Linked DNA regions of Styela clava. The protein of the gene in region 2 purifies or fractionates together with the protein of the main gene of each other region. This does not show direct contact. Links are inferred from orthologs where the notes say so. Each region holds a gene or a part of one and is shown on either strand. Other genes may lie near its edges. The genes, in order: RAD50-interacting protein 1-like, vesicle transport protein SEC20-like and NBAS subunit of NRZ tethering complex-like.

The links.
Region 1: the proteins of vesicle transport protein SEC20-like (region 2) and RAD50-interacting protein 1-like purify together in Homo sapiens (co-immunoprecipitation; 3 studies listed by BioGRID and IntAct, counting the BioPlex papers as one, with this or other methods). This does not show direct contact. The link is inferred for Styela clava from reciprocal best matches to the Homo sapiens genes BNIP1 and RINT1.
Region 3: the proteins of vesicle transport protein SEC20-like (region 2) and NBAS subunit of NRZ tethering complex-like purify together in Homo sapiens (co-immunoprecipitation; 3 studies listed by BioGRID and IntAct, with this or other methods). This does not show direct contact. The link is inferred for Styela clava from reciprocal best matches to the Homo sapiens genes BNIP1 and NBAS.

Annotation. Positions count from the first base shown.
Region 1 is NC_135250.1:9,705,847-9,709,446, reverse strand, and holds the start of RAD50-interacting protein 1-like, read right to left. Parts: upstream 2,359-3,600; 5' UTR 2,271-2,358; coding exon 2,133-2,270; intron 1,377-2,132; coding exon 1,135-1,376; intron 523-1,134; coding exon 343-522; intron 1-342. UniProt on the Homo sapiens protein: Involved in regulation of membrane traffic between the Golgi and the endoplasmic reticulum (ER); the function is proposed to depend on its association in the NRZ complex which is believed to play a role in SNARE assembly at the ER.
Region 2 is NC_135250.1:16,234,985-16,238,440, reverse strand, and holds vesicle transport protein SEC20-like, read left to right. Parts: upstream 1-1,407; coding exon 1,408-2,139; 3' UTR 2,140-2,850; downstream 2,851-3,456. Other genes in the region: zinc finger CCCH-type with G patch domain-containing protein-like, read left to right, coding at 1-579; cathepsin L-like, read left to right, coding at 2,916-3,095. UniProt on the Homo sapiens protein: As part of a SNARE complex may be involved in endoplasmic reticulum membranes fusion and be required for the maintenance of endoplasmic reticulum organization. Also plays a role in apoptosis.
Region 3 is NC_135260.1:20,998,145-21,001,983, forward strand, and holds the start of NBAS subunit of NRZ tethering complex-like, read right to left. Parts: upstream 2,624-3,839; 5' UTR 2,589-2,623; coding exon 2,489-2,588; intron 2,111-2,488; coding exon 1-2,110. Other genes in the region: glomulin-like, read right to left, coding at 3,189-3,839. UniProt on the Homo sapiens protein: Involved in Golgi-to-endoplasmic reticulum (ER) retrograde transport; the function is proposed to depend on its association in the NRZ complex which is believed to play a role in SNARE assembly at the ER. Required for normal embryonic development.

The DNA.
Region 1 (3,600 bases), about 6.5 Mb from region 2:
TCTGATTCAAGCGATAAAAATATCACATTTTACAAAGAATCAATTAAAAAATAAGTTGGCATTGGGGATTTTATTTGAGTGGGATATTCCATAGAAGAAATTTTCAATGACACTTTCAGAGAGGAAATTTACTAGGTGAATTTTTCTAAGGTGGAATTTCTGTAAGTATCGATTTGAGTGAAATTAACACACTGCACACTTATCCCACAAACAGAAAACCAAACTTATTAAACACCCTTTTTATCATTTTAAATTCACAGTCCTTTAAACAACTTTCTGCAAGCATTTTTGTTACTGTTCTAGTCTACCTCAATTATCATAACAATAATAACTGATACTTACAAAGCCAATTTGTCCTTCAAAAATTTATGCCAGAATAGAATTGTATCGGAAGTAAATTTCATTAGACTTTCACATTTTGAATGTTGTGTTGTGAGTATCTGGTTAACCTTTATCAACTTGGTAAAAGCTTGACTACCACCACTCAAATTGTCGCTCGAAATGCATCTCTGTATTTCTTCACTAAATAAGAAATGCATAAACTTGAAGAGTGGGCATTATGAACGATTGGCTTTGATTTTTAATTCTAGGGTCTGAAAAATCGTGATGGATGCATTCTTCAGCAATATATATAACAATAGCTAGTTTTCATAATGATATTTTCCATTCTGAAAATAATTCTTTATCAAATCATATTGGAACGCCCGATTATATTTACAGCGATTGCGAGCTTTTTTTGAAAGTTTGCCCGACATTTTGTCTTGAAAAACTAACAAATAAATATTTTGTTCAAAAGTATCTAAACCTTGCACAGTGTACGGGATAGCCTGTTTGTGATTACTGGAAACAATGAAATCAGTTTACTGAAATGTAGGCTAAACATTGTATGGTAAAACACTATGACATCATAATAAAAAGTTCAACAGCTACGATGACATCAATTCAACTACTTCAAGCACTTCAGTCTTACAATTTCCAGTCATTAAATAATTTTCAATGAAAAATATATAAATATATTATAGCCAAATGTGACTGTTAACATATTGGAAGCAATATATAATCTAACAAGTACGAATAAATATAGTTAGATTCATAAGTTGCCAAAGTTAACATTGTCTGCAATCTATGACAAACCTCAATTCTTCCACATGTTTCAACCATTGTAAATAAACAACAAATTTTTCTATTTCCTTCACTTGAAAAACCATTCCTCCAAGATCATCATTTATGGGCTGGCATTCTTCCATAGCTTGATTAATTTTTTTAACAAGAACATCTTTTTGTGCGATGAGAGTTTCACCTTGTGTTAAACTTTCATCAGAAAGTCGGATTGCACTTTCAATTTTTGTTGGAACTTCAGTTCTAATAACAGACAGCTATAAATAAAAGAACAATTTCTTAGTATTGGTACAGTAATACGTTTATTCCGAGATATAGTCAACAAAGGTGTCAAGACAGAATGTCTGAAAAGCAAAAAAACTAAAACGCCAGCGACGCAAAGGGGGGGACAAATTATATATGTGAATAAAACATGGAGACCACCCTTGTGCTAAAATGCACATGCGAATTATGATGCATAATGCATATTATTGCTCCTATCTTGTATAAAAAAACATTTTCTGGCATATGAGAGTTAAACAGGTACAATACCACCATAAAATAGTTCACTCAAACTAGCCTTCTGTAACATATGAAATTTTTCATATGAATTGTTTGGTCTTGTAACTGTGACCTAAACAAACATAATAGAACTCAATTACATTATGATGGTCATCTTCAACAAGGGAGTGGAAGATTATCATATTATTACCATGGGGAGCCAATTGAATATAAAGTCGTAAATGCTCAGATTGGAGGGAGGGGGGGATTAAAAAATCAAATGCCTGAAACAAGCAATCAAAATTTCAAAATTATCGACTTAAACTGACGTTTATTTTCCAGAATTAATAGCAAGTTGAGGTTCAATTTAAAGTGACCTTGATAAAATGAGATGTAATTTTTCTATAATCGCTATAATTAAAACCAAGTCAGTGTCGCATAAGGATCAAATTAATAATCATTGTTTCATTTTTGATGACCTTAATTTTGTATATATGTATATATCAAAATTCTGTACAATAATATATCAAAACCTGGTGTTCAATATCACGTTGTCTTCCAAGCAGTTGATTGTATATTTCCCTTGCATTTGCTAAATCATCAATCCTTGTTACTTGACCAAAATTTGTGTCAAGAAATTCCTTAACAATCCCCTGATGACGATTCATCATACAGCTTTCACAGACAAGGGTCAAAAATGAGACACAAAATCTCAAATATAGGCTATTACTATTCTATACCATTTCTTTGATTTAAGATAATCTGTGATGAAAGGTCAATTTGCATAAATTATGTATACCCATCTATGTTGTATATGACAATTGGTCACCTCAAATATTGTATATAGAAGTGCAAACTAAAGATCATAAATACTACCAAGGACTGAATTTTAGTTGATCAGGAATAAAATTTTTACCACCGTGTCCATAACTAATTTAATTTATGGGTATTGAGAAAGATTTTGCTATGTCTAACCAAGAGTAATGCCCTAAAAATATACAAAAACCTGGTTAGGAGTCAGGACATATTCGACACCTCAAAACCAAACGTGCTAAGTCCACTTTTCCAAAAAATGACATTTTTCAATTGCTGATTTTCCTGGACTTAGCTCTACATTTTGGTCTATTTGCCTTATCTCTAGGTGCTCTAGATCTCAAGACAGCTATGGACATAACCCTGCTTTTTTTAGGGCATTTGAGAACTAAACAGAGCTGTGTCTACTATAGTGGACTTAACTCTGGATAACTGCATTGTAAGTTGGGGCTAAGTCCGTTTTTTTCCCTCTATAATAACATAATAAAGGGGCCCTTAGTCCAATAAAATTGTTTCTGGTCCAGAAAATTGAGAGCCAAAAAGGGTTAAGTCCAAAAAAAAACCCCCAACACAAATTTTTTTATACCATCCAAATATGGCCTTCATTGTAACTTTGGTGGACCATAAAAACTAGACATCCTCGATGTAAGGTATTAGAGAAATAAAAAAAAGAAACAAAAAACTAGAAAAATGAACTTAGCCCAATTTGGATTTCATGCGTCGAATTATAAGGTAAGTAATAATTTCCTATAAAAATTTTGAAAATTGTAACAGGACTTTATAAACACCTCATATACTATTTAATAATGAATGTCACACACAAAGATAGGCTATAACATGAATTGTAAATTTTTTTTGTTCGATGATACAAATCAAACTGGTTTGTTAACATTTGCGATTTCCTCAAATTTGAAAATAGTTGCTTGATTGTACCAAACTCAGAAATAGACCAAAAAGTGTTTTACAGGAATACAAATAAAAACAACAATTACAATTTTATTACCTAACTCTCTAAAAACAAATTCGTAAATTTTTCAAAAGTTATAGAATAGTAGTATGTAAAGTAATTAATGTAAATAAATAATAATAATGGAAAAAACAATAATGCAGAGAACAAGAAATGAAACTGAAATCTTTAGAATGTCACAAGCAAACAAAATCACCAATACCATATCGGTAAACAAAAAA
Region 2 (3,456 bases):
TCGAAACTTATGCAGAAAATGGGATATCAATTAGGTGAAGGCTTGGGTAAAAGCAGTCAAGGCCGTTTAGAACCTGTTCCAATTGTCATGCTTCCAGTTGGTAAATCGCTCGACCATTGCATGGAAGTAAGACTTAAAAAGGGTGTAAAACACATTGGCGATACAAACCAAAATACACAAGGAAGTGAAAAAGTACTTAGGAGAAAAAAACGTGACAGATGTGTTTTTTCATTCCTCAACAAGACTTTAGGTGTCAGTGAAGCTAAAAAAGACTCTAAAAAGCAAATTGAAATGCCTAAAGATATGTTTGGAATAAAGGCTGGTACTGAACAAAAAAATGTAAAAAATTTCAATAAACAAATGATGAAAAATGAAGATGACATGAAAAAAATTAAAGCAAAAGTTCTCAAAGTAAAAGAATCATTACGAAGGAACCAATCTAATCCTTCAGTCGTCAAATCTTTGACTGAAAAACTCGACAAACTAAAGGAAGATTTGACAAACATGAAAGAACTGGAATCTAATATTAAAATTCATAAGTCAAGAATGGAAACTCATAGAAAAATGACAAGTTTTTGATTGGTGTGCAATACTTAAAAAGAAGATAACAACATAATTAAGAATTCCATGTAGTGTTAATACTATGAAGTTGTAGTTTCTATAAAATGTTTATTTTGGGATTTCTTATCATAGCGCACTAAAGTAAAATTGTTTTCACACTGTAGCAAGCAGAGCTTGTTTGAAATCAACGTGACTCCAGGTTTGGAGCCAGAGTATGTTCAAACAGCAGCTAGAGCTCCAGTTTTTACCTCTGAGCTGGGCTGAAATTTCACGGCAGTGGGTCTCAAAATCATGATGCTGAGAATGATAGATTTCATTATTTATTGGAGTGTGATATAAAAAAAATTATAAAAGGTAAATAATATGTAAACATTCAAGAACTGGGGACTCACTGAAAATTTCTAGTAGCTTCAGCTCCAGCTGGTATGGGGAACTTAGCGCCAGCTTCAACAAAACGTCATAACTGCAGGCTCTTATTTCACTAGATAATTAAAGCGTTTGGCTTGATTGCTCTCAGGTGATGACCCAAGAGTTTTTTAGCAATAAGTCACAATTCAAAAAAGTGCTCAAAAAGTGTTTTTCATTCGACTATTCATTTGAACTAAATTACATCGTCATTAATAAATCCTTGATTTAGAAAAAGTGATGTTGATTGATTATTTAATTTTCGTAAATATTTTGATCAATGCCTGATAATCAAGAATCAATTTTCATTATTTGATACTGACTCATATTTGCTAGCTATCACACTGTGACTCTGTTTTATTTGATTTTTTTGTTTTTGTATTTTCTCAATATCAAGAATAAGTTCAATATTTGTTTAGCGTTATTTGAGAATATAGGGCGATGAATGCACAAAGCTGGGTGCGTAAGTTATCTCTGGAGAAGAAGAAAGTTCCAGAAAATGCTGATTTGAAAGAAAAGATTGTTACAATGGATTGCTCTGCTAAAGCTGCGATTCAGGATGTCTGGAGATGTGATGGCACAATAGAAAACTTACAGACAATTCATGAAAATGCTCGTAGAAAAATTAATGAGCTTCGTGCTGCTATTCAAGATTTTGAAACAGCTGCACAGGAAGCTGATGATGTGAAACAAAAATTAGAAATGGAAGAGTCGGTCAAATTTTTTAAGGAACAAATTCAGAACACAAATTCTACGTTGCGCAAAGCATATTTGACTAAAAAGATTGCTCTCGATGAGGAGTCGAAAATGTTACTTCTTGGTGGTGCTAAAAACTCAGAAGTTCGTCGTCGTCAAGCATCTGCTGCAAATCAAGAAAACCTTGCACGAACTGCGAACGATGTAACACAAAGTCTGTTGAGCATAAGTCGGGTCATGAGTGGCAGCGTGCAACAGAGTGCTGACTCATTGAATACGTTAGTCAGGTCGTCTGGTTCTTTAAAACAGACCGATGAAGAATTGAAAGACCAGTCTGGCGTTATCCAGACCAGTCATAGGTTATTGACTAAATATAATAGGCGAGAATGCACTGATAAATTTTTAATATTTCTTGCATTGGCTTTCTTTTTCAGTACAGTGCTATATATTTTGAAAAAGCGTTTGTGGCCTGTGTAATAATTAACCCTATAAAATTTTACTAATAAAGAATGATATTGTTGTTAAATTCAAATATATTTAATTTATTAGAAATCATTATACTTAGTATTAGTAACAGTTATTCTAGATATCAGTGCTTCGTTTTCTAGAATTTCATTTATCGCTGTCTGGATATTTTCCTGACTGTGTTTAACTTGATTTATTCTGTTGTAGGTTAAAATTGGTTAATAATGTGCAATAATCCGTCAGAATCTTTGATATAATTTTTTTGTGGTATTGAGTATTAATACTGATCTAAAAATAATTCGGCAACAAATGTTCTAGGTTGATGTCACTGATGCACGAACAATGCAGGGTGAAAAAAAGATTCTACATGTTCATGTTAAGGAATATTATAAATTCAATTTAATAGTTCAGTACTCCAACCTAATTCTAGCTGATGACATAAATTTCTGGCGAATTAAAAAAAGATTTCAGTGGTTCAGCACTTAGGACTTGACAGTTACTGTTTATTTCGGAATTATGTATAATCTATTCAATGTTTATACAATATTGGTGTTGTCATGTGTATCTTTGTCTGTCATCTGTAAAATTTTGGTATTGGTTGTTGTCGGATAATGTGGGAAAAAGAAATAGGTTTTGACACAGAAATTTGATCCCTAATTGGATGAAATTTAGTTGTGCAGGGATTGAATATTTTATTTTGCCATATATTGTCTGTGTTTACAGTTCTTAAAATAAAGTTTTAGTTTTTAATATTTACCTGTAGGAATATTGAAAGGCGCTCAAATAAAATGAAGCTCCTTATTGTGGCTTTGGTTATTGGACTCAGCCAATGCTTTGGAGAAAATAATTCGTTACCTGGTGGAATTATGGAATTGGACACAAATGGTTTTCCACCAGAATTTGGTCGGGCATATAAAAAAGCAAAGATCCCATTCATTTTTATTAATGCTGATAAAGTTACACATCAGGTATTGATACTGTTGTAATTGTAATTAGTTAGTCCTATTTGCCTAGTATATTATGTTGTAATATTCATTAACAAATATTCTAGACATCAAACATCATTTCTATTGTGCTATTTTGTTCAGTATTGAAGGACTAATGTTTATGATGGTTAACCAATAGGCTTAACTAATAATGTGCCAAAATCAGATGGGTAATTTTAATATATGTAACCAATCACAGTTTGTGAATATCTCGCTAGGTTGTGCATGGAAATTACAACTAATATTTATGTGATATATAAATCCAATTTTGAAAAATGAAAACAGAGTGCAAAATGCGACTCAACAGAATAAAGTATAGAATCTTGAAATTTTGATTCAGTCC
Region 3 (3,839 bases), on a different chromosome or scaffold from region 2:
CTGTTGTAACGTTCTCTTGCTGCATCGTAGCCGCCCAGTAGACTTTCATATGTAGAAAGTCTGTCAAAGTATTTCAGAATCTTTTTTCTTGTTCTAATAGTTTCTTTTTGTTCAAGTGATAAATTATCAAAATCAAAATTTTTCGACCATTTTTTAACAAATTTTTCTCTTTGTCGTATTTCTTGTTGTCGTTGTTCCTCAACATCAAATCCTTCATATTCTTCATAATCTGATTCCGAATCTGAGGAAGTTGATGATGATTTAGATTCAGTGTGTTTCACCTCTCCAATTTTATCAATATCTGTAACTGTCAGTGCAAACTTTAAAAGCTCTCTAGCAGCATCTAGTTCGTCAGGTACTCTTTCACAACACTCGTGCATGACCCATGATCGTTTTGTGACTTTGCTTAAATAGTCCTGAATAGATGCAACTGAAACAGGTGATTTTCTCCATTGCCTTTGGAACACTTTGTCACTATCTAAGTTATATCTACGTGCCAGAGCTAGTGCTTCACCATATTCTTCATCATCCAATTTTTTTTCAAAAAGTTTCTCAGGTGTTGTTTTTGTCAAAGTTAACAGTCTATATGACTTTGTAACAAGTTTGGGCCGCTTTCTTGGAGGTCTAAAATATTCAATTTCAGTTAAATCATACATGGTTGATTTAGTGTAGTTTTTCAAACGGCCTGCTATACCTGGATGATCTTCTTTGTCACTGTCATCCAAAAATGGGTCATATTCCTCATCTTCCTCCTTTTGTGCTTCTTCTACCGAATCCATACGTTGTCGCTTCAATGTTTTAACTTGAGGTTGGCATTCTAACGCAAGGAAACCCTCATCTCTGCAGAATGATATTCTCGGAGCTGGCTCCAACCACTCGCATTGTTCACCAAAAAGGTTATCAAGAGACAAACCAGAAACACGTACAACTGTCAATGAACCAGAACAACGTGCTAAAATAACACTGGAGTCGTTCCACCACTGACAGTCAATAATGTTTTGTAATAAAGGATATTCCTTGAACTTTTTAGCAGAATTTATAGATTTCACAGCATCCGGATCCAGGCTATCAAAAAATGGTTGATCTTCTTTGTTCCAACATCTTTTGTGTCTGAGAGAAGGGATATCCCAGATGGAAAGACTACCGGATATTTGAATTGTAGCCAGAAATTTACAACATGGTGATAATGACATCGTATATATTCCATCAAAAAACTGTTTTCGCAATTTTTTACCCAAACCTACTGGAACAGTGGACAGCCTCCTCAGAAAACTCTGATTTCGTTTAGCATCATCAACATCTGAAAAAACATTCAGAGCTTTGAGAAAAGGTTCTTCTGACAGAAGCCGCCATGCTGTTAATCCAATCCTAGTCGCTCTCGGTACATCATCATCGCTCGTGGCATAACCAGCACATCCACCAACAATAATCATACTGTGGTCCTGATTATAAAGAACACCACTCACTCCATTAGAATAACTAGGTGAAAAATCAAATTCATACGTCATTTGATAACCTCTTTCATAAATGCTGTTTATTTCAAGACAAGTCGCCATTCCACTGTAAGACACGACCAATAAATGCAAACTGTCATCTTTATGTTTGTGTGTCACTTCATGTCCAATGAAAGTCAAACTACAAATGGCTGAACTATAATCATAAGCTTTTTTGTCATCATTCATGTGACCTTGATAAGTGAGTAAAAGTATTCCTTTGAGGTCACACACATAAACGGTACCATCGCTGTCAGAAAAAGCAATTGTTGTAGAATGTAGACTCCAAGAAATTTTTCGCCATTGAGGAAAAAGGTCTTTTGTAAAATTGCAACGCCCGACTAGCACACTGTAGTCATCTTTGGATGAGAGAACTTCCAAACATCCATCTTGCAATACTGCAATAAAATTACCATCAGGTGATCTAGCAAACATCCATGATTCTTGGCTGTTTATTAACTTGATCAAGTCTGGTGGCAAAATACATGATGCTCCTGATCTTACTGGAATACCAACAGCCCGGACAGTTGCCCATGTCCACCTTGATATTGAAGACTGAATCCGTTTGGCATTGTTGTAAATGACATTTGATTGAATTTCATCTTGTTGTGAACCTCCTGGAATATTATAAATTTTTATAATTACAAACATATTCAAGCAGCCAAATACAATTACGATTAATGACTGGTTTTAAAATTAAAATCGATTTTCACAGAATTAAAAAAAAATCTCTATAAACTGAAATATTACCACTGAGTTGTGGTCTTGTGGAGTCTGAAAATTCGCATTAAACTGCAAGCTGACTTAGGCTACTGAATAAAATATTGGGTCTGTCTGTTTGAAAATATATTTTCAACTTTAATATTAATAAAAGCTGTCAAATTCAGAGAATACACAGCTTCGTCATCGCCATGTATCAAATATGCTCACTTGCATAAAACTTTTTTTATATATGGATTTTTTTTTATATATGGACCAAGCAATAAATATCTCACCGACAACTTCCTTTTGTTCGGGCCATTCCACTTGATATGACAAGTCATATAATATTGCATCTTCTTCCAATGAATTGTCAGCTTGATTGCTAATATTCATTATATTTATGTATATAAATATATACTAAAAATAAGAATAATATATAAAACTGATCTTAACAAGAAATAAACTCAATAATTCATGGATGCATAATAAATTTGCATGTTACAAATTTCAAGTTATCTCCCGAAAGATATGTTATTAAACATTCAAAAAATAATTGAAGCATTTTTTTCGAAAAGGCTGACTCTCTATAGCTAACTTCTGGTAATTTAAATTGCACAACAGACTTTGAAAACAGATTGGGGAGTGACAAAAATGAAAAACAAAGTCATTAATTTTTATTCAAATTAGGAACTACGAGATAAATAGGTACTCCCAAAGTATGTGAACCAAGATGGAGGACACCGGAACGTAGTATGTGTACCAGGTTAGGCCATAATTTCAGGTACAAATACTACGAGTCACTTGGCTAGTCTCCGAACTCGTAATAGAACTAAAATAAGGAAAATTGGAATACAATTAGGGCCTAACCTTAACGTGGTACACATACTATGTTCAGAGTATTTTGGTTCACATACTTCGGGAGTTCGAATAAATAATACAAGCATATAGAGCTACAGCCGTTTTATTCAATATATGTTTCATTAATTGAATAAATCATAGCTTGTTTTGAGTATGCTTTTCACATCCACTATTGTGTTTTGTGTATGAAACATCTATCAACTCAATTACCCTAATTGTAACAATTTCAATCATATCAAAAGTATGCAATGCTGCCTCAAGTGTTCGCTTTTGCTCCTTGTATGGTAAAGTAGGTAATGGGGTTCCATTAACAAGAAATTCAGTTTTATTATCATCAGGACGTTTAGAACTCCGATCATACTTCTTTAGTTCATTTTCATAATGAGCTCGAGATAGGTCAATAGCATTCCTCAAAGGTTTTAGAAACTCTGTATCTAATTTATCCAAATGATCAAGTATTCCTGTTTTGTTCGTCTTATCTCTGATAAGAAGGAAACGAAACAAATTCAATGCAGGCATGAGTCTGTCACAGTCTTCAAGTAAATCAGTCTCTGTTCCTTGAGGTAATAAAAATATCAGCTCTCCTAGAGTAGACATTTTATGAGCTTCACAAAAAATTAAAGAATTTTTCGGGGAAATTTCTTGTAAAATTTCATTGAAACGGTCTTTTAAGTAACCAATCAAGACTCCTTGCACACCATTGTGATCTGTTGTTCTGAGCAGATGAACTAAAATTGAATATTTATCCTCCCAACGAAATAAATTCAGTAGTTTAGTCACATGTTG